Linked DNA regions of Lepisosteus oculatus. The protein of the gene in region 2 purifies or fractionates together with the protein of the main gene of each other region. This does not show direct contact. Links are inferred from orthologs where the notes say so. Each region holds a gene or a part of one and is shown on either strand. Other genes may lie near its edges.

Region 1 (7,691 bases), on a different chromosome or scaffold from region 2:
CATATTCACATAGATAATGAGAGCAGACTGATATCACCCTTTTTCATCCAAAGGATGTGCAGTGCCTTCCTAAAGTTGAAACATCTCCAGTACATGGTGATACTAATGCTGACAGTGGGGAAAATGTTACTCATATGCTCATTTTTCAATATAGCATTTGACAGCTATACATAGTTGTTAGTTTTTAAAGTACTTTTGAGAACACTTAAGGTTGCAGTTGTATACTAATTCTGAATTAACTTTTGATTTTCCTTTTCTTCCATTGATTATTTTTTGTCTGCCTTGCTTTCCGTGCTAAACATTGCGAAATTCACTCAGATGTGTTCTTTTTCTTATAAGAAAGGGTGTAAATGGATGCAAATCCTACAAATGTACACAAGCTGGTAAAATTAGAAAACTGGTACGAAAATATGTTTTCTGATATGTACAGTTGTATAATAATAGTCAAAATGATCCTTACAATTTGATTTTTTACACTTTTCTGGATAATCCCCTCAAAATCGCTTTACAGATAATGAGGACTCTCCTCCACCACCTGGAAGATGTGACGGCAGTCAAAGTGCACCAGTACACTCATCACACACCAGCTCTCGGTGGGGAGGAGAACAGAGTGATGAAGTTTATTGATCAAAGGGGATTATTAGGAGGGCATGATTGGTATAGGCTGGGGGGCAATTTGGGCTGGACAGGGGGGTAACACCCCTAATCTTTTTGAGAAATGTCCTGGTTTTCAATGACCACGGAGAGTCAGGACCTCGGTTTTACATCTCATCCGAAGGACGGTACCTTTTTACAGTAACACCTCTTCAAGCAGCAGCCTTAGTTTCTCCCAGGAGGTCTCCCCTCCAGGTACTGACCAGGCTCACACCTGCTGAGCTCCTGTGGGCTGCCAGCTGTGAGTTGCAGGGTGATTATAGCTGTTCGAAAAACAATTGAACATTTTATGTTAACACATTTTTTAACCCTTATTTTGACAACTTTTAAACAAATGTTTTCCAGCCTTTCCCCTAATTTGTAGAGAATGTTTTTAATATGGCATAAATGATACTAGTGCCGAAATTGTCACGTTGTCACCATCTTACTGTAATTGCCTATGAGAGGAACAAACCTACTTTTCTGAATTGCACCAACTTAGAGCAAATGAATCTCTTATACTGAAGTATGCTCCAAGCATTAAGAATGTTGGGACCTTCCAAACCAGATGGATTTTGCTAAGACCTCGATTTGTAATGTGGTGATTTTTTTGTGGGTCTTTTTAGGGACCGCAGCAGCTGACTCATAGCTTTAACATCTGAAAGAGCAGGTCAGCTCTTTGAGCTCCAAACCAAATATTTTAATGTTTTTCTGTTTTTTTGAGAAATTAAAAAAGAAAATCAATTAACGTCCTCCATTTCATTTCTTCACTTCAGGATCCCAGTGACATTTGCTACATTGTGGCAGTAACGGCTTGTTTCGTTGGTGCTGGTTTTGAATCGTTTAAAAACATGAAGCTTCATTACACTTTTTCTGCATGACTTAAATAAACACTCAATAAGAATTTTAATGATCATTTTCCCTAGATGATTCCAATGTGGGCAGCTATTGAAATGATCTGACTACCCCTGAAAGCTGTGTATTAGTCATTTTCAAAGTCACTTTATTTCCAGAGTGAGTTATTTGTCCTAGATTTGATTCCAGACCAGGGCACTATCTGTACTGCGTTTTCCACGTGCCTGTGTGATTTTTATTTTTTTTTAGGTGCTCTGGTTTCTTTGCTCTTTCCTAAAACATGCTGCCTTACTGTAAGTGTTGTCTCTACACTTTCCCTGTGCACACGCAAGTTTGCCCTGCTGTGGGCTGGTGCTCTGTCCTGGAGCAGTCCTGCCTTATGCCACCTCTGAGAAGTTCCCCTCCTCCAGACACCATGGTGTTTCTGCTGGGCAGCTTGTTTTATTTTTCCTTACCAAGGGATAGGCACTTTTCTGGTATGGAATGGGTGTGAACTGATCTAAAGAGTATGATGGGGGGGCAAAACAAGCAAGTTTGGTAAACCTATAGCAGTTTTTCAGATTGCTTAACGTGCATCTTAAACTGAGCATGGATCTTTATAGCTTACACCCCTGTGTAAGGAAAAGTGCCCCTGTTCTGTTGTAAACGCACTTCCCTTCAGTTGTCACTTTTCGCCCCCGGTTCATGATTCAGTGTTGATTCTGAAGATGTCCAGCTGGTTGACTTTGTCATCGACTTCAATTACTTTAATCATTTTCAGTACTTGAATTGGACCCCTTGTGATCTTTGTTCAAGACTAAAAAGGTTCAGTTCTTATAGCCCGAGGAAGACATTCTTTTGTGATCAGAAATGTACATGTACTGTATGGGGCATCACTCCTCTGGACTGATTTCAGAATAGCAGTGTGTTGCAGAGTTTCTGGTGTAAAATAAAATTATCGTGGTGATTTCAGTCTTCTGCTTCCTCCAGAATGTTCCAGCCCCCTGAAGGAGAGGAGCAGTATTTTATTGTAATACAATGGCACTTGTCTGGGCTGTGTGGGTCAGGACCTCAGAGGTCCGCCTAAGAATGTGGTTTGAATCCAGAAGTATATGGTGTTATCCATAGAGATAATGTGTGCATTTTTCTTGCTATTAAATTACCCATACTTCCCCTTGGTTTAAAAAAATGTTTAGTTTAGGAGATACACAAGTCTTTCTTATAGTGCTTTAACATAGAAACCTTCAAGAGCAACTTTTTTTCTTCCTTAAAAAGTCATTTAAGGATATTTCTGTTTTGCACTGTAGTTTACAGAGTGCTACAGAACATGATTTGTACTTGCATAGGGAGTAATTACTGGTTTTAAGTGACCGCACAAGAGTAAGAAGGATACCAGCACTGAGTGCAACACTGAAGTCCATAATGCAGGCTTTCTTGATGAACACCATCCACCCAATATCACTGTAAAAGCTTTGCTGGGAAGGCAGGATGGCTGTGAATGACTTACTGTACAGTATATATTGAAGTGCATTTTATTTTGCCTCCAACACATGCTCAGACTTAACCTTGAAGTTACCCTCTTGTTGAGGGTCACAGTAGCGAACACCAGGTCTGAAAAAGCATAGCAATCTGTCGTCGTGTGGCGTGTGTGATCTGGACCACAGCTGGCAGCTTGTGTAGCACCTGTAATGTCTCACCAGTAAATAAAAGTTCTCAGGTGCCTTCTAACCCCTATCGCCATGGTCATGGTTCTGGAAGATGGTACCTCAGCAGGTGTGGTTGTGTGGTGTGCTTGAGCACTCGATGCATAAAATATCACAGTACATGTGCTTCTCAAGACGGGGCCATAAAGACGTGTTCTACCTGGAATGGACTGCTGGCTTTCGGACTGGGATTTGGTCATCTTGTCCTCATGATGGCCTGTCCACACTGTGTGACTGTAGCAGGTGCTGCAGTGGAAGACGAGGGTGTCACTTTCATGTCATTCCCTAGCTTTCTCGAGTATTTGAATGATCTCCACTGTAGGGGTGTAGGCCTTTTGGTACTGGATGTAGCATTTATCTTGGCTGTGTAGGTCAGGCACTTGAAAGTACGTGAGACAGCAGCTAGGATTTGGGATTCAACCCCACACACTACATTAATGCCATGCCTTGGACCTGTGGATAGGCAAGAGCCTATCAGTTTCTAAGCTTGCTGCGGGTTTTGGCGAGAGGGAGTTTGACAGGTCCTGCTGTGTAAGATGAGGCTGTCATAGTGATGTCGCAGTCATGGTGTTCACATAATTTCACTGTAACAGGCCCCCTGTACTCTATGAACCCTGTTATACACACAAAAAAATCTCACATTATATTTAATGAATTCTTAATGATGCCTAATTATTTATAAATTGAATACAATGTAATGCATGCAGGATAATGGAAAAAATGCAAGTAGAATGTACTGTATGCTGCGATACTGAATACATGGTATGGTTCGTCAAGACTCAGAACCCAGAAAGGAATTTTTGTCAGTTAAGCAGCTCTTTGCCTTTGCCAGGGTTCATTTAGAATTTGTGAAGACTAAATGTGTGCAATTAGTTACAAGAGTTTAATTATACATGAATGAACACTGCAGCTGGCGGGTGCTGTTAAAATAACATATGTCCTTTTAACCCATCGTGGCCAGGAACACAGTGCAGGAAACTGACCCAGGGACACTTTTTTCAAAAGCTGTTAAAGCTTATTAAGCGAATTTAAATTCAAACGTTCAGCGTGTTCCAAAATATATACCTTTGCTGCCCTGAATTACAAAAAAAGGACTCCGAAAATCTGTTCAAGAACATCTTTATTTTTGAAAGAAGATCATGTCCAATTTCAGACGTTCAGTTCTCGGAAATTTCACCAAAAAAAAAAACCCGAGTTAAACTGCTTATTTGGCCCAGCAAGATAATTCTGCTCGGGAGAAGTGGGCATCCCAAGTTCCACTCGAGACCGTCTACGTGTATTTTCAGTCGAACGGGGTTTGCTCTGCTTCGGCGCCGTGTTCGTTTTGGGGTGACTTCGGTGGCCATCCCTCGCCCCGCTAGGTCCTGCAACACGCGTGTGGGTCGCCCGTACCGGCCGTGACTCATCCCGGAGGTGGGCTCTCATTCGCTCCCGCATCTTCTGCTAGAATAAGCGGAGGGTGCGCTGGCTGTCCTCGTGTATCCCAGAATGCCGCGCTGTCCCGTATCTCCTGCTCAGCCCGCTGGCGCTGGCGGTGACACAGCTGGCGAGCAGAGAGCGGACTGAGCTGCAGCCTCATCAGCCGAGCGGGGGGACACGGGATACCCGGTAAAAAGCTAGCAACTTATCGTATGCAAAAAAAAAAGGGGGATCTGCGGGCTCACGTTGTGTTGCATCGAAAGTGTCAAAGCGAAAACGAGAATTTTTGTAGCTGTGTTTGCAGGAATGAGGTAGGGAAGGGGGCACACTGTACATTTCCTGGGCATGCATCGCCCTGATACTGTATACAGTATGCGCGTCCTGTTTTTTTTTCTCCCCACAAAATAAATCTCTTCGGGCAAATCAGTGCGATTCCTTTTAGATGTGCCAGATTGTGTGTGTGTGTGTTTGCGTGTGCGTTTTTTTTTGTGTGTGCCTGCGTTAACGTCTACGGTGGCTATTTAAATACATCCGTGCACTCGAGGTTGTCGCCGCAGGAAGAAAAATCTGTGGTTGATACTTTGATACATTTAGAAGCTGTGAAGTAGCTGCAGGGAATTCATTTTGCGGAAAAAAGAGACTCCGGTCACTGAGTTTATTTCAATGCGGAGCACTTGAAAAAGTTTTTCTTGTATCCGTTAGGAAAAAAAAATGAAGACGATGTTTTAGCTAATAACGGCAAGGGTTTATAGCTCGTTTGCTCGCTTCAGTATTTTAGTGGCTGAAGTACGCGAGTCGCCGCCTCGGATGTCCAGTGCGACTCTCCTGCTTTCGGTCACTTCAGACCTGACACGACACCCCAGCGGTGCTCTGTGTGTTAGTTCTGCAATGCGGTGGGTGTGGTTTGGATGTAGTAACCGGGAGATGTGAACCTCTGCAGTCACAGCACACTCCACCGCCCCCCCGTCTGACTTGGCATTTTTTGCATCAAACAGAAATACACACCTATATTCTCTGTACGTGTGTGAAAAACGCTCAGTCGTGACAGCCCGTGACCCCCCCACGGCCACTAATACTCCATGCTACCAGTGTACGGTGAAAAAACAAGGGAGCAGTCTGGACGAAATAGCCGGTTATTGGTAAGTCTCCGGGAAACCAGATGGTTTTCATCAAATGAGGGGAAAATCGGCGGAGAGACGGGCGATATTGTAAGTCGCGCTTTGATTAATTTTCCAGCCTCGGCAATACAGTATACTCGTTTGCTTTGATGGAAATGGTTTTTCTGTGTGTTACTCAGCGTTTCACGTAACTAACCTTGGTGTTGCGATTTTATACGGACTTTTTTGTGACTTTTTAACATGCACATTCAAAATCCCTACTGGTTGCTTTGGAAGAATTTTTATTAATTGTATTGCATCGATAACTATTTCATCCTCTTAATTTTTCTAACGCTGGAGTGGATTGCTTGGAAACTAGCGATCAATTACCCGAGATGTGTTTTTTTTTTTAATGAAGGGGAGACTAGAAAAGTGTTAACCTTCAACTGCTAAGTACAGAATATATACAGTGCATTCTGATTTTACTGCAATGATGAGCCTGGCTTCAGGTTAAGAAGGTGAAGTACCTCCTACAACGCAAACCAGAGCGAATAGAGGTCTTCTTTCTGCGAAGTCATTCACAAAACATTTAAATTTTTTGGTTAATGTTTTGTGCAAAAAAAAAAATCGACACGCTTGAACCCAGAAGTTATCTTTACGCCGGAAGCAATGCTGCATTCGATAAAGGAGATGAAATATTTTAAAGTGTTTCTTGTTGTGGATGTCTCTCTTATCTAAGCAGCAAGGGTCTCTTGATCCTGAGGGTCTGGCTAATATTTGTCCTCCTGACAGCTTGCCATTTTGACTTATGGTTTTCCTCCTTTCTTCTCGGGCCCACCCTGAGGCTCGGCAGAAACAACGTGAACTCGCACGTCTGCTCACTAATGACCGTAGACTGTGCCACTGGGCACGGTGGCTGTTCTCCCATGTACTGTCAATTATAAAACATTTCAACTCATCTGAAGTAAGTGGCCATCATAACTACATACGGTGTTGCTAGTGGTCCTCCTCCCGAGAAATGAAGCTATGCCTGTTATATTTATCACAGAGAGAAAGGTCTGAGTGTATTCATCAAATGTACTTTTACAGCACCTAAGCAGGCTGACAGAATGCCCCTGACAAATGTGTTCACAAGGGAGACAAAAACGGCATTAAAAATTAACGGGGCCAGTCTGTGTTGCTGTGGAATTAGATCAAAGACCTTATCTGATTTTTTTTTTCCAGGTATACAGGAAAGAAAAAAATCCAATATCCGGATGGACTTTTATCTTTATAGAAAAAGCCGTAGCGTACTATTAACATGTAATATTAATATCCCATTTTTTTTCCTTTTACTTCGGTTCGTCTAAAAAAAAAATAATTTCCATATCAAGTCCTGCTAAATTGACTATTCTGTAGACCTGCCTATAAATAAATAGGTATTTCAGATCTGTAAGAAATGTTCTACTCATTTACTTAGTATTTCAGGTCTCACCTATTTTTAAGTGCTGCTGTGTTTATTTTCCGTTATAATACGTTTCATTTTGACCTAAATGCTGATGTCACATGGCGGGTATTTCCACAGTCCTTGAACGCTGTGGCAACACAGATGAGAGTAAGTAGTCGAAGGGATAGGGAGAAAAAAAATGAAAAGGCTGAGATCATTAACGAAGAGGGGAATTGCACGGTCAGTTTATTTTTTGGTTTCTTAATCGTTTGCCTTGAACAGATGAAAATGTAAAATGTTCTAAGAATGGGGAAGCTGGAATTTCTGGTGCTTCCCATAGTGCAAAGCTTATAATACAGACTGTAGCACACAGCAAGTCTGGCAAGTCACCGTCACAGACAAGCTTACCGTAGGTGTCAACAAGAATGGGGAAGGTACCTGACTTAATGGACTATTCTGGAATCAGCTCTTAAAAAGGTTCAAATCATCTGCTTTAGATTAAATCAAGATTAAAACATTGTAATTTTAGATCTTATTAGCTAAAGAACACAATTATTTCTAACCAAATATAAGCTAGCA
Region 2 (8,095 bases):
GGCGTGACACTAATGACCTGTGAACAACATCTCTTGGTTTCTTTATGTACAATTTGCAGGATAACATCAGCCTCTTCTATGCTCATATTATTTCTTATAGAACTCTGTCTTTCCTCAGCCTAAGGAATGTTATTGATTTCTTCCTTGATGAACACATAAGCGAAATATTCAATTAGTAATTTCCTTTTAATCTTTTGAAGATTATCATTTTCAAATCTAAGCACCTTACTTGATCCTTACTTTTCATTAGCTCTTGTAATGCTGAAAAAATATTATTTTATAATATAATATATAATTTATAATTATAATATAATTATTTTTTATATCTTTTAGCTTTGGAATTTGGCTCTTCTTTAACTTGATCCTGATATTTTGTACTCATTTTATATGGTGATTTCTCTTTCTGGATATTTTTCTTTAATATATTTAAACAGTTACTGATTTCATGTATATCCTATCTCATTTTAGTTTTTTTTTACCAGCATAGTCTGCTTTTCTTGTATCTAAAATGTATTTCAAAATCTTATGAATGCAGTTCCTAAATGGTTCTCTCTGTTTTGTTTTCTTTATTTAGTGTTGATTGTAAGTAAAAATGTCCAATTAGACTTAACATTAATGTCTGGCTTGTGTGGTTTGTAGCATACTCCTCACATTATTCTTTTTGAAAGGTTTTCTTTGTGAACCTGTATAGATTCTGATTCTCTGGATTCATCTGTGTTAACTTAATGTGCCTGAATGCTCATTTTTAAGTATAGTCTACATCAACATTTCTTTTATCATAACACTAATGATTTGTCACCACTTGCTATTAGCCATGTTTCATAGACTCCAGTTACAGCACACTGTGAATCCAGCATCTTCTGTTTCCTGTATTGTTTTCATACTACTCCTGGCATTTAGCTATAAGCATTAAATTACCTGGCCATTTATTTTATGCTTGGGTTTTGTTTTTGACTGTGCTCTGTGTTTATCTCTTTTCCATATTTTCTTAGGATAACGCTTCTCTTCTTCACTAATGTTTTTGAAACCATGTCATGTCTGTACAGATGACCTCTGCCATTGAAAGCTTTCCTTCTTCACCATGTCCTCAGCAATGTGATGTACAGTATTCACGCCCATTCTTCACCTTTCTGGGAAAAATACAGACTTAGAGCAGCTCTTCGGTGATTTCTAATTTCTTTGAATGTTTTGCATATGTAAAGAGTGCTGTTTATGTTCAAATCCCTTGTCCCAACACAAACAGCATCAATTGTGTATTCACTTGTATTTGCTACTGTTGCTATTCCCTTGTATTTGTCCAGTGTCCTCTGGACAATGTTAGCCACTTCAGTTGCAGGGAAACACACTCTGTGGTTGACTCAAGATCCTTTATGATATATTAGTTAAAGTGTTCCTGAGAACAGCATCACCACAAACCACCACCTCTTAGTTTGCATTTTTGGCAGCACTGGCATTCTCTGAAATAGTGACTAGTAAATGAACTATGATGGTGGTAGGAGTCTCTAAATTATAATTAAAGTTACTGTATTTCATTCCTTGCTTGTTACAAATCCATTAAGTGTTTCAAAAAAGATGACTCTCTTGTTTCATTTAATTTGCTATAAATACTACTAAGATATTGCTACAAAGACTTAATTTGCCAAAGTGTTTATATGGATCACACAGCTTTTGAACTTCAAATGTCAAATTTGACATCCATTTTAATTGCCACATACACTCAAAACTTTTTTTTCCTCCAAAACACAACATTGCTTTGGAGCACGTTGTATGTTAAGTTAAAAAAGATATAAAGCAGCATTCCATAAAACATACTTCTCTTGTTTACCAAATATAACAAATATATATCACAAATAGACATTTGATTGTTGTTATTGAAAAAAAGATTGCTTTTGTCCTTCTAGAAGCTTATTTCCATGCTTATTCGTTCCACGTGTGAAGCTGCTCAGCATTTAAATAAAAAAAATGACTGCTATTATGTAAATGTTTTTAGTCTTATTTCAGGACCAGAATTTGTAAAAGAGTGGTCAAGCAGGAATTGGAGCAAGACAGCTGGGTAGGAAACTGGTTTGACCAGATGCATTTTGTCATTCTAGATAGAAAGATATATACTTTTTAGTGTTTAGAAACTTCAAAGAGAACTTAAAGGTGTTATTGCTGTCACAGACTTTGAAAACTAATTATAGAACTATGTATGACATGCAAGAATATAAGGCATGTCTTTGGGAGAGGTTAGACAATTTTTCAAGGTCGTCATCCCTCCTCTAGCGGGTGCTCCTACCTTTCTTGTTGTGTTCCCAGTTGTATTTGTCCTAGCTGTGTCTTATACCCTTTTCCCTATTTAACCCTGGCGTCTCCATAGTTCTACACAGATGTAAAATATCAGCTTCTGTGCTACCTAAACTCTCTACATTTCAGGATGCCCCTAACACACCCAGGGTTCAGCATGCCAAGAACAGTGACAGACACCCTAGTACACACTTCTAACCTGGTGATATGCAGACTCTAGGTTACTTGTTGTGGCGTGGGAGACAGCATTCTCAAGTAGGTCATACACAGATCACCAATTTCTAAAGACTGGGAACAACAAATTGTGTCTAGTGCCAGGTTACACCATATCCGAACTCCAAAGTAAACTGTAAACTGTAGATCAAGTCATTGGGTAACCTAGAGAACAGCTGGATGTCATAAGTAAACCCATTCCCATACAACATACACTTCAAAATCCCACACCAAACTGTCAGGCAATTGTGGAGCTGGGTCATTTAGAAGTGGCAGCCCACAATACATTAGTTTGAGAAAATTGGAACTGAACTGGCAGCTGTTTTTAGTCAGCTTTTGTTGTTGATTCATTTTGTTTAGTGAAAATAAGAAAAATAAAATTGAAAAGTTTTACATTCCGGTTAAAATTCACAAAATGAAATACTGTTTCCTTTTTCATTAGTTTTTGAAAACAACAACTTTAACTTTCAAAAGAAACTGAAAAGTAATGATGCTGTTCTCATCTTCTGCTATGGAGGACAAGTGATAGGGATGTGACTGAGTCCTACTCCTGATATATTAGATGGTCCTCTTGGACTGCTATATGTTTAGCCTGCTATTTTGTTACCTTAATTGGGCATTTTCCACTGAGGTGTCCACCTAATTGTTCCTTGGGTGGGCACTTGGAGGTGCACCCCTCCAAGGAAGGAGTGTTAGCACACCGCATGTGTCCAGGGATGGTCAGCATCAAATTTCTATTTCTAGCTCATGACAGCTGACCCCTTAAGCCATTGCAATGTCCAGTCTGTCTCCTATCCTTCTGTATGATATTCAAATGAATGTGTGCGGGCAGTTTTCAGATATATTATTATCCATATTATCCATACATTTTCTAACTGTTTTATCCAATTCAGAGCTGCAGCTGAGCCAGAGCCTATCCCAGCAAGCAATGGGTGCCAGGCAGGGTACACCCTAGATGGGACACTTGTCTAGTGCAGGACACTCATCGACAAAAACACGCACTCACACCAGGGCCAGTTTTCCTGGAGGTCAATTAACCCTCCAGCATCTCTTTGGACTGTGGGAAATCCACGCAAACATAGGAAGAACCTGCAAACTCCCTGATTCTCATTCATTTGTGCTCTTCTTCATAGTGCACCAAATCATCAATATTTGTAATCATCCCATCTGGACACAGTATTTTTCAGCTACCTACATTAAGAGAATCAAAGACACAAAATCTTCTCATCTGATATATAGTACATGCTGTCAGGCTGATTTCCTATTTGACATGAACTGTATATATAGAATGGTTGTAAAAAAGCTTTGACAACTGAAATAATTGTGATACGGACCTCAGCAATGCCTCCCAGTAATGGTTGTGAACAAGAGCTGTTGTGCAACAAAGTGGCAAACCTCTAGTTACATACAGTACTATACATGTCAAGCAATTTGGCCAGAGTTGATTTAGTTTAGCATGGCCACTGAAGAGTTTTGTGCCTTAAGGAAGGAATGACAAGTTTGTGTCCGTGAGGGGTGCTATTCGATATAACACTGACTGACTGAAAGATGCAGTCTAGATTCAAACCAGTATGATCCAGGTTGCAAAACTCTTCTTCTATTCCGGCCAAAGGCTTTTACCTGATAAATAGAGTATCAAGGACATTGTTATCAAGTCAAGTATTAGTGACAGTTTAACAGTACAGTGTACAACCATCGACAAATATTATTGAATAAATTAGTCATTATTGTGTTAAGTTCACTTTTATTATATTAAGTGAAAGTAGGAACCCAGTTATACCACTGACGTTTATGCATAACTATATAATTCTAGAATTAAATAGTATTCACTTTATATTCATTTACAAAGCAGGAATATGTTTTCAAATCAACAAGAATGGAGGACTAACAGTACTAGCAGTGCTAGTATATATTGTACTATAGTTCAGGTGGGTAGCTGCGTCAGCATGTGTAGGCTGCAAGGAACAAGTAATAGATTTATTCCATGCTTTCTTCTCTTTTCAGCATGGAATAAACATATTACTTGTTCCTATGTTATACTCTATGTTATGGATAATGTAAACTACCGCCACAAAAGGTGGTCACTGCCTATGGTCCTATGTTCTGTGTATTTCATTCAACCATGTGCCCAGCTATAAAAAGCCCAATCCATGTATTGGTCAGACTTAAGACATAACGACAGCATATACTTACATCCTCATGATCATGCATTATAGTGATAAAGTTCAGTGTAACTCAGCTCAAATATTTGAGGCATTTGTTAAGTCCCATTTTAGCCAACCTCCTTACTCTTTCATACTTTAGCTCTGAACCACAGAAAATTGACATTGACAAATACAACTGACAGTCACTTCCAGACTGGTTGCTTAAAACTTCCCAAGTGTTCATGCGACACTCTGCGGGAAGGAAAGGATGATTAGAATGCAAGAATCCCACCCACCACTCACACACATTCAGACAGTGAGAGAAAAAACCAAAACACCCAAAATGAAAAAGAAAGGCTGGAATCGTTCTAGCAGTTAGCGTTCTACCTATACGGAGCAAAAGGCAAAACAAGTGCACATACTGTAAATGTAGGCTATCTGGTGCACGCACATCCGCAGTCCCCTTGAATACACTACACTGCAACGGCATTGCTCAAAAGCTCATAGCATCAATTACAGTTCTTCGTCCGTGCTTATCGAACACTCTGTTCTAATTACAGCATGAATGGCTAATAAACTTGTTTTCGCAGCGGTTGACTAGCTTATGTTTTGGCAATGGGAGAAGGGAGTACGAAATAGTGCTACTCCACAAATCACAAATGCATCCCTTCAGCTTTCAGGTTGCAGTACTGCGGAATGGGAAGTATTTCCTTGCCTGGGAGCCGTAGTGAAGAGTGAGGGGAGGGGCTCCACGGAAGAACTGGCAATCAGAAACCAGCAATCGCTTCGGTCTTCTTTTTGCGGTATCTTCCACATTCAACAAGAGGCATTTCGCTGTTTCACGGGTCAGTCTGGGCTTCTTTTAATGTGAAATTTGCCTCGCCATCCGTGGGAAGGCACTTAGGAGCAAGGGGGGAGAAGAGAGAACGGAGGGGAAAGAGCCCCTGCAGCGAAGCATAAAAGTAGGCTTTTATCACCCAACGCTACAGGCTGCAAAGTGAGCAAGAACGTTTTTCTTCCCCTCTAAGACTAAATGGTTTAATTCTTTTGGGGTGTCTTCAAAGAAAGATCAAACAGCGGGTACAATGACTGAGAGAGAATCGGCGACAGACACCGGAACTGCAGGTAAAAACTATTCTATTTATGATTCAGACCTGTAAAGCTATGCTGTAGTACTGCGAGGAGGGCCAGTGATGAGATGGATAGGCGTGCACATCTGCAATAGCCCAAATGGTCTTCAAGACTGCATTTTTGTGTTTTATCCCCATTTTTTCTTTCCTCCTTCCCTAGATTCTGAAAGTAGGTTAGGTAATGTATTGCGAATCCCATGTTAACCGAGAGGAACGATGTACTAACTACAAGCTTGTGCAGTATGTTGTGATTTCAAGCTTTGACAGACCACTTTGAAGGCTTGAAGTTGGAAACGTTCAAACCCGATTATGCATTTTATGTGCTCCTTTAAGGGTTTTGATGAGCCTTTTATTGACGGAATGCTAATATGGCCACACATGCACTGCTCAAAACCTATTACTCAATGCTGGGAAAATTTAATTGGCGAACTTGGCGGTGGGTACTTTCCATAATTCCGTGATTCTGTTCCAAAAACCTGAAAACACAATTTTTACCAAGTAATACGGATTAAAGTGAATTATTGTTATTAGAACTACGTGAGTGGCTAAATCTGGACAATGGATATTTAAGGTAAAAACGAGAAAAAAACGTGGTCCCTTTCCATAAACAGGGATAAAATCTAAAGGTTAAGAAAAATCACATTTGAGTTTTGACTTCCAACATCCATGGCGGTGCGGAATGGAGTCACATGGCCGGTCCCTAGGGGATTCAGATTCAATGCAGCAAAACTGCATGCGCTGCTCCCTGCCAGGTAAAACAATACTGCGGCTTGGATGTTTCACCCATTTGTCTTTTTCTTCTGTGATTACTTCTACCACCAACTCGGCAGGGATGTTTTGACACAGTTTCTACATTTAATAGTGTTTTTGTTGTACCGCAATGACAGGATTCCTTTCACTCTGCTGTGGTTATTCCTGTTGCTCTAAGGATGGTTTCTGTGGCATACAGTACTGTAGCTGATGCCCTCCCCTGTTAAGGAGAGAGAAAAGTTATGAGATGCTTAGATGAACATGTTTTTGCATTGGCAGTGTTGTAGATGAGATTTGCAATAGCTTACAAGGGAGTGTTCCTGCAGGAGTTTTAGGAAAGAAAAGGCACTGTCTGCCCTTCAAAAGGACAGAGCAATAGACTGTCTGACATCAGCATGCATGACACTTGGGAGTGGTCCTTACATCCCATTCAAATCTCTTTTACTGATAAACTAAACTGAATTATAATAGTGCAGCACACAAACCCAGACTAAGCTTTTGCATGGACAGGCATTGCTACATGGTAAAAGTAATACAAGCCTGCAGTATTTTTGTGCAATTCATGCCTTTGAAACAGTTTCCACATTGCCAGAATTTTCAATTTGGTGTTTTCCATATCTGTTGAAAATATCTTCATGCTTTCAGGTTCTCAAAGAAAGAATTGCCTCACTAGTTGTCAGATTTCTAAGCTGTCACTTGTTATCCCCCTGCAGTGAAGCTACAGAAACAGATCAAGTAGTATGCTGTAATGCGTTCTCACCAATCCATTACTGCTGCAGTTGCCTGGGATGAATGATGGATGATGGGGTAGAATAAATAGTCTGTCAAGTATGGGTGGATTAACACATTTATTTGTTATAACTGTGATTGAAGAAGTGTGTGTTCCATCATGGGCAAGTCCATTTGACTGCTGATACAGGCCTTTTCTCTCTGTATATCACCAATCTATTTTATTTGCCTGTGGGGTAATGCAACACACATGTATGAGGCAGGGCCTAAGGAAATAGTAAATAATCTGCTATTCTAAATGTATTTCCAATTTATATAAATGTTTGTATAAGCCAAACATGAGATGAGTGAAGAAGCCGTGTTGCCAGCAGTTTTGTTTTAGGCCTTTATTTCTGTGTCTGCAGTGTTCTTGAGGATCTCTGTTATTGGTGTTACCTGTGTACTAAATGTTGCTTTACTGCGTAAAACTAATTAATATTGAAATTAAAATGGGCAAGATGTCTAATTGATATGCTTATTCGTGGAGATTGACCAAAAAATTGAAAAGTTTAAAGGAGTTTTTATTGATTTGAAAATCAAGTTTGCCTCACAAATCTTGGATCCTGTGTTTGATTATAACATGGTGTGTCTTATGTCTGGCGTTCTCCCTGTATGCTTGAGGGATTTCTGTATTGCTGTGGTTTTCATTAACCAGTTGGTCAATGGGTGTGTGTGAACTGTGCCCAATTTATAATAGTGTCATGCAAGACACTATTAACCTGCCCAGGATGTAGTCCTTCTATGTGCCCCATTTTCTTGGGATAGACTCTGTGTAGCCAGTTACCAGTTACAAGAGGGTTTATG
Region 3 (7,343 bases), on a different chromosome or scaffold from region 2:
AAGATATACTTGAAAGGTAGGAAAATAAATCAAATTCTGCACAAACACACTGTGAAGCTTGTTTCTGTCAAAAGTATCTCTCCAACAAAGATACTCTCAGTGAAGTTTGTGTTTTGAAGGTGTCCAGACAAGGTAAAAGTTACCCACTACAGTTACAATTTATTTAGAATTTATGTGTAAGGGAATATTTTACAAGAAATGCAGTGAATATTTACAGTTACATTTACATTACATGAATTAATTACACACAATATATACATATCTGTATCTATAAAAAGTCCTCTTGTTAATTAAAAAAAGTAATCCATTACACAAGTAACTTGTTACTGTAATTGTTTAATTTTTAAATCAACTTTCCCTAACATTGATTGAGAACATAGAAATGAAAGACATAATAGAGTGCTCTGTGTTTTTATGACAACTCCAGTACAGATATTGTTTAATTGATGCAGCATATTGACAGCTGGCATCCACATCACTCTTTTAGCATGACATTTTTAATGTGGTCAAGTTTGTAGACTGGGCAGTTTAATGCTGTAACACAGGTTCCAAGCTGTAGTGAGTATGGAAGAATTTTGAAGTCTGTTTTCCAAACTTTTAGGGGTAGACAGAGACTGGGAATCTACCTATAAAATTGCCTTAAAATGCTCTTAATCTATTAATCTAATCCTGTCTGAATGTTTAATACTACGAATTTAATTGACTTTTGTGTTGATGTGTGTGTCTAAAAAAGCTGATGTGTGTGTCTAAAAAAGCATGTGAGAAAAAATTTGCTATTTAAATTTGGTCTAATAGAGGGATGAAGTCATCGAGAATGAGATCTGAAATTAAGTAGCTTGTAGCCTGGAATGTACGTTAACATAAGTTGTAACATAGTTGCATCTCTGTATTCTCTAACACAGTGAGAAAAAGTACAAGGAAATCTTCCAGAAAGGTGTTATAATTTTCAAGGACTGCAGTCTTAAGTTACCAGTAGGAATTGGGAATGACCTTTATGGCATGTAACGCAACAGATAATTAGATACAGCGAATGCAATGGAGCAAACATGAGAACATTCTCATTGCCAAACTTCAGGAGACATTCACGATGAGTTGGAATAGTTGCAGTAATGTGCACAATGAAACTGTTCTCTCTCATATAACGATGAGGGAGCACCACTGTATCTTACCACTGAAGACTAGAGAGTACTCCATTACGTTTTGGAGCTGATGCATTGATGCTCTGAACTTGCCAGCTCAGTACTGCATGAGGCTATCAGCAACTTCATTGTGCTGTAAATGGTAAACATAGGTATCTTAATAAATTAGCCCATAAACAAATAACTGTACAAGTTATACTGAAAAGGAAGCAAACATGAAACATCTGAACTTCAAAAAAATGAGAACTGATTGGTTAACTGTTTTTAGATGTGCTAAGGTAAAAATAGCTAAATACATTAAGATACCTGAGATAATGATAATGATAATGAGATACCTTTAAAACTATATTCTTTAATCTGCTCCTATTTCGTGGAGAGTAGAGGAACTACATGATCAAGATGTCAAACCCTTAATAAGGCCTTGTCTATCCAGTGGTATTTACTGGATCAAGCCACAGATACATTATTTTTTCACTGTCCCAAGTAACTCCAGAAGTCCCAGGAAAGCACTGTAAATTCATAAATTGAAGTTAAGTAAAGGGAGTTGTAGAGGGCATTTACTTATTCATTAAAAACCAAAAGGTACAGCATGAAAATACTGTTGATACACAACTACTTAGCAGGAATGGAGTGTGACAGCATTTTCCTATCGTTAATCATCGATGGAAAAACAGTCAAAACATCTCTATATATTAGAGAAGCTTGACATCAGACCACGACTGGTCACGTCCCAGTTGCACTACGTCAGCAGCCAGAACAAAACGGCAGCGTTCTCCTAATAAGTACTTAGAGGAAGTGAAGAGGACGATGCACAGAATCTCCACTCAGAGAATAGGACGTTTCTTTTGGTAATTACAAATAACTAACGCACCGCACTGCACAGAGTCCTATAAATATACTGTCTGCTACAAACCTTCTTAAGAATCCCATCGCAACTTGCGCTGCAGGACATTTTCTAAAGTAAATAATCATTTTCAGAAAATATTCCTCCTTACTTCTTAAGATACAAAGAAAAACCACTAACATTCTTCAGAAGGTCTTAAAACAACATCAGATTTGACTTACAGTTCAAACAAATTTGTATAAATATATAAAATAAAAATACAGAATACACAATAAAGATGAATGCGACGTTTATTATACAAAATTCTTATTTGAGCCAGAACAGCTCTGTATTCTCCGGCCACTGGATCCAAGGCATAGGACCATAAATCAAACAGGATACTAGTTCAGCGTTTTTATTACTGCGGAGGCGCAACTGCAGTCTCAGTATTTCATTACATAGCAGCGCACAACTGCACTTAAAACGCACTGTATAAAATAGCCTTTTCTCTCAAACCAACAGCAAAACTGAATCTGGAAGGAATACATACTGGGAAGTCAATGTATAAAAAGCCCAACCGTCTGAGAAATAAATGCGTTTGTCTAAACGTTTTAAGAGAGGCCAAGGGAAATAAAGTATAGGAAGCACTGGATTAAGACACTTTTCGGTTCAACTCCTCTACCAATTATTACTTCCCCAATTGGTGCCCCCTTATGTTTCCTTCAGGAAACATCGTTATTGTCACACGAATGCTGGCCTGCAAGATCAAAGTCCTGGAAGAAATCGGACTTTAGCGAGAAATCTGTTGCGACACATAGGATGCAACATTTTACCTTGGCTTCAGCACCCTGTCCCTCCTGGATTTCATTCACCTCCGCATTCTGCGGCTCACCAGCTGTAGCTTCTTGACTCTTGTCCGCATGCTCTGCAGAGGTGGCTGCTCCCATGGTGAAAACCAGACCCTTCTTCTTTTCTTGTCCGCCCGAGAACAATTAAGCACAGTGGCGACAACGACCAGATATCCAGCAACCCAATGCTAACTGCAAACCCCTCCTGGGTCGTCAGGCTCTCAAGTGATGCAATCAGGATCCCTGCAAACTCTTTTAGAAAACCGCCTCCCCTTCGCTATATCACATGCACAGGAGCGAGGCACGCCTTGCAGCATCAGATTAAAAAGAAAAAAAATGTCCTGGGAAGGTGGCTGGTACCCTTGCACTGAATACCGAGCAAACGCTCATAGTTCACTTCCCAACATCACCAGGCAAGGGAGGACCGAAAGCGTCCTTATTTGAAAACATTTAAATGGACCTGATCAAATATGAGCTCTGTCGCCTTAATAAACAAACTTCTTATTATTCCTTTTCCAAATCAAGATCCTGCAGCGGCAGGATTGGTAGAATAGTCTCCCCTGCAGCATTTAAACGTACAGACGTAAAGGGAGAAAACGCCACTGATAAATAATAATAATAAAAAAAACTCTTAATCTGTTTCGGAGGTGGAAGATCATGAAATGTAAAAAGGTCAAGCACACATTTACATGAACTCCCCTTCTACATCAGGCACTGCAGTGAAAAAATTCCTGTATCAGCACCGCGCTCATTGCGGGATATGAGCTCTACCACCTCTCTCGGACATCTTCAATTACATTTTGTGTAGATTGGCGTTTTTCCCCTCACTTAAAAACAACAGTAATAAATATTATTTTTAATTTAGTGGTGTATAATGTGGATACAATTTGAAAGCAGAACACTTAGAGGAAATACCGTAATTATTATTAATAATACTTGCATTATAATTAATATAACTTGCAAGACTTAAAAACGCAGTGTTTTATTTAAGAGTTTATTCAAGAGTTTTTTTTGATCATTTGAAGCAGACGACATCAAATTATCCAAATCTGCAGCTAAAGTTCAGTGTTCTAATTTTCTCGTTTATCTCCCTCTTTTAAATACAACAACACACTGTAGTCTGAATAAAGTGGTCATAATGGGGTGGCCAGAAAAACCGGACACTTTAATCCAGAACGGAATTTTTAAATTGTTCTGAAACTTTAAGTAGCCTAATCAACAAGTAGACTGAGCACAAGATTTTCGCATTATTATTAGCTGATTATCTCATCATGATATTAACAGTTTTATAACATTGGGAAACCGCATCTTTAAATTATTCGTCGCAAAAAATAAATTGTTTCCCATAGCCCTACTTTGCACAGACCCTCTGGATCACAACAAAGTAGTGGTGGCAAGACAACAAACATCTGATTACGTGTCATTATTTAAGTAAAAAATAGATTGTGATATTGTGAAATGTACAACAAATACGAATAAGTTTGCATAAAGTCGCTGGCTATACTTTTTTTTGTATTATTAATTTACTGTTGAGGTAAGATGAGTCGAGGCCAATTAGTAGTCTATTTGGCTCAGGTGTAGCAGATATTGCTTTTATGGTACCTGAGCAGCTTCAAACATCTCTTATTCATTGATCAGTTTATGATGGACAGGCACAGGTGGAAATGACACTGTATCAGATACTTATTTTTTTCCTTCAGCTGAGGTCAACTGGTTACATTGCAGGCAACACACATTAATAAAGGCAGTTCTGTTACTCAGACGTTGGTACAGGATTGATACCAATGATAAATCCCATTTGATCCTTTTAGAGTTTAAACAAGTTTACAAATATGCCCCAAATAGAAAACTGAAACCAATTAGCTTGTGATTAAGAACTCAGCTGGTGCTTAACACAAAAAGAACCTTCCCAATGACTCTACCACATATAGGAGATGCAGAAAAAAAGAGACTTAAACAACACACATACATGGAAGAAGTTCTGACAGAGTCTGGGTTACATACAGTGTTTACAAATGTCTGTGGTCATTTTCATAGAATTAGATGTACCACATCTTTATTTCACCATGCTACTGCATCTGACAATAAGATAAAAAGCAGATTTTGTCCTCTACTCTATGACGATAATGATCTCAAACTCATTTCCAGAAAAATGTCAAACAGAAACGATGCTCTGGAGTTCATCAGAAAATGGCTGTCTTGAAACAGAGATCTGGCTTCAGACCCAGAGCACATGTTCAACAGGAGCACTGGAGTACAGAATAAAATGTCTGAACTCCAAGTTCAAAGGTGTAATGTTAAAACATGAGGGTTAAAGAAAGTACATAAAAAAATGACAGCGAAGATGGCATCTCTCTTATGATACCTAAATTGGCCACACTATGTTATAGTATCAACATTCTTTGACACATATTTTTACTTGTAGGTGTTGTTTACATTCATCTGTGGTTCTTTGAACTACAGTACTTAATGTAATGTATATTGTTTTGTGCTCAAACTGAATAAACAACAAAGCTTGAACTCTTTCTTTTTTTGTAAATATGCACCAACAAAGTACAAACCTGTTAAGCCGCTACAATACTTAAGCTGATTTCTTTATTATTGAATTTTTTTACTTTTAAAGTAGATCAGAATGGTGTGTTACTACCACAATTACCAATTCTTATAAATCCTTTTAAGTCTTGGATATTTTGTGTAAGTTAACATAGCTGAGAGTTGTATTTTATATTAGAAGAAATCCCCTTTTCTGAAACAATTCCTTCAACAGTATGTTCTGCCACAGATCTATGATAGTTCATTCAAGAAGCCCAATTAATAAATCTGTCAATGAAATAATAATACAGCTAACAATGAGAAAGATGGGAAATTGAGACTTTTAGTGTCAACGATTAGGTATATGACTCAAATACCAGACAGCAGCTCATTCCTTGAGAAATTTCAATGATTGTGAAACGCTTTTCACAGAAGTTTCAGAACCAGTGTTAAGCAGAATATCTACGTCTTAAATTATCATGGACTCCTCTTCCAATATAAGGGTTTAGAAAAGATAAAGCAAAATGTTATGGAGAGTTGCACATGGCACATCACTTGACTGCAGGATTCCCCTCTGCAATCAAAGGTGTCATTGTTTCATCTATTCGATGCTACTGGTGAACAGCAAAACAGCTTGAAGAAATTGGATTTAGAATTTTTTTCATTTCTTGTCCCCTGTGTACCATCCTAACAAACATTCTATTATTTCAAAATCAGATTGATACATATTGTTAGGTGAAGAGACACATAATGTAGTACTGTAATTCCAATTACGGAACTGTCCAACAGTAAGTCAGAAAAGAGAAAAAACAGAGGATCCAGAATTAAATTATGAAAGAAATGAAAGTTCTGTACAAGCACATGACTGTTGCTTCATTCAGATTCTTTTACTGCGGAAAAGAAGTTAGTGGATCTGCTCTTACATAATTATCAATTACAATGAACAAAGTGGCTTCTCTGTGTTTTACCTCAATTCAGTGTCATGGGGCTTTAAATAAATTGTGGTGTAGGAAGAAATCGATTTCAATCTTTGTTCTCTGCTGCACAGGATCTTGGAATAAAATCTAAGGCAAATGAAAAGTTTTCATCTTTTTCTTCTAGAGACGAAATTCAACAGTTGAACTCTATCTCAATAGGCAATAGTGACCCCTGTTGAGAAAGGGCCAAGGAACATTTTTACCTTAATTAAGACAATAACTCCTTTAGATTAGTGCACTGGCAATCGGCTTCTGCTGGCTGGCTTCATCTAATGCAGAGGAATATTTGCTTACAAAACACATTTGAAGGACAGACACACAGTATCAACTGTCCACGCCATAACTGCACCCAGTGCTTTGAAAGCAAATAGAAATGTACAGATCAGGAGTATATAACATTAGAATGGTTTAACAAAAAAAATCGAACAAAAATGGTTACAGAAGAAAAATGATTCATTATTTGGGTAAAGAAGGTATTCATAACAAGAGTCAGGTGTACAACCTCTATCTTATTAACTATATTTCCCTTGGAGTTCTTGTCACCAGTATTCAATGTTGGAATTCCAGGTTCGGCCAACGCAGGAGAATCAGCATAAACATTTTAGAACTGACTGACAGTAATCTGCTCACTATACTGGCAAACACTTAAGCTGGAAAAAGAAATGGCTGACCCAGATTTTTATGTCATGAACTCTGAAGTGGTGCTCTGTCATACCATATACTCAGAAGAAATAGAGTTCCTTCAAAAAGCATTAATTTTGTGTGTCTATAGAAACAACAACAACAACAACAACAACAATAATAATAGTAATAATACTTTTTCTCATGTTTTGACTGTTTTACAGAAATATGTCACTGGAAAGAGAGTTTTATTTCTCGAACCAGGACTGCCAAAATCTCTCACTTATGGTTTCATGCTCTGTTAAAAGTATTGAAAAACCCTGTTCTGTGGTTATGTAAAATGAAAACATGTTTGTTTCTCATATGGTTTTACTTAAAAGTGTTAAATAGAAATTCAGGGTAA

The links.
Region 1: the proteins of hspa12a (region 2) and epb41l3a purify together in Homo sapiens (affinity purification with mass spectrometry; 4 studies listed by BioGRID and IntAct, with this or other methods). This does not show direct contact. The link is inferred for Lepisosteus oculatus from reciprocal best matches to the Homo sapiens genes HSPA12A and EPB41L3.
Region 3: the proteins of hspa12a (region 2) and akap12b purify together in Homo sapiens (affinity purification with mass spectrometry; 3 studies listed by BioGRID and IntAct, with this or other methods). This does not show direct contact. The link is inferred for Lepisosteus oculatus from reciprocal best matches to the Homo sapiens genes HSPA12A and AKAP12.

What each region holds. Positions count from the first base shown.
Region 1 is NC_090701.1:55,495,485-55,503,175, reverse strand, and holds the start of epb41l3a (band 4.1-like protein 3a), read left to right. Parts: upstream 1-4,660; 5' UTR 4,661-4,778; intron 4,779-5,539; exon of another isoform or gene 5,540-5,728; intron 5,729-7,691. UniProt on the Homo sapiens protein: Tumor suppressor that inhibits cell proliferation and promotes apoptosis. Modulates the activity of protein arginine N-methyltransferases, including PRMT3 and PRMT5.
Region 2 is NC_090699.1:32,062,390-32,070,484, reverse strand, and holds the start of hspa12a (heat shock 70 kDa protein 12A), read left to right. Parts: upstream 1-5,008; 5' UTR 5,009-5,728; coding exon 5,729-5,768; intron 5,769-8,095. UniProt on the Homo sapiens protein: Adapter protein for SORL1, but not SORT1. Delays SORL1 internalization and affects SORL1 subcellular localization.
Region 3 is NC_090697.1:48,385,890-48,393,232, reverse strand, and holds the start of akap12b (A-kinase anchor protein 12b), read right to left. Parts: upstream 3,086-7,343; 5' UTR 2,910-3,085; coding exon 2,796-2,909; intron 1-2,795. UniProt on the Homo sapiens protein: Anchoring protein that mediates the subcellular compartmentation of protein kinase A (PKA) and protein kinase C (PKC).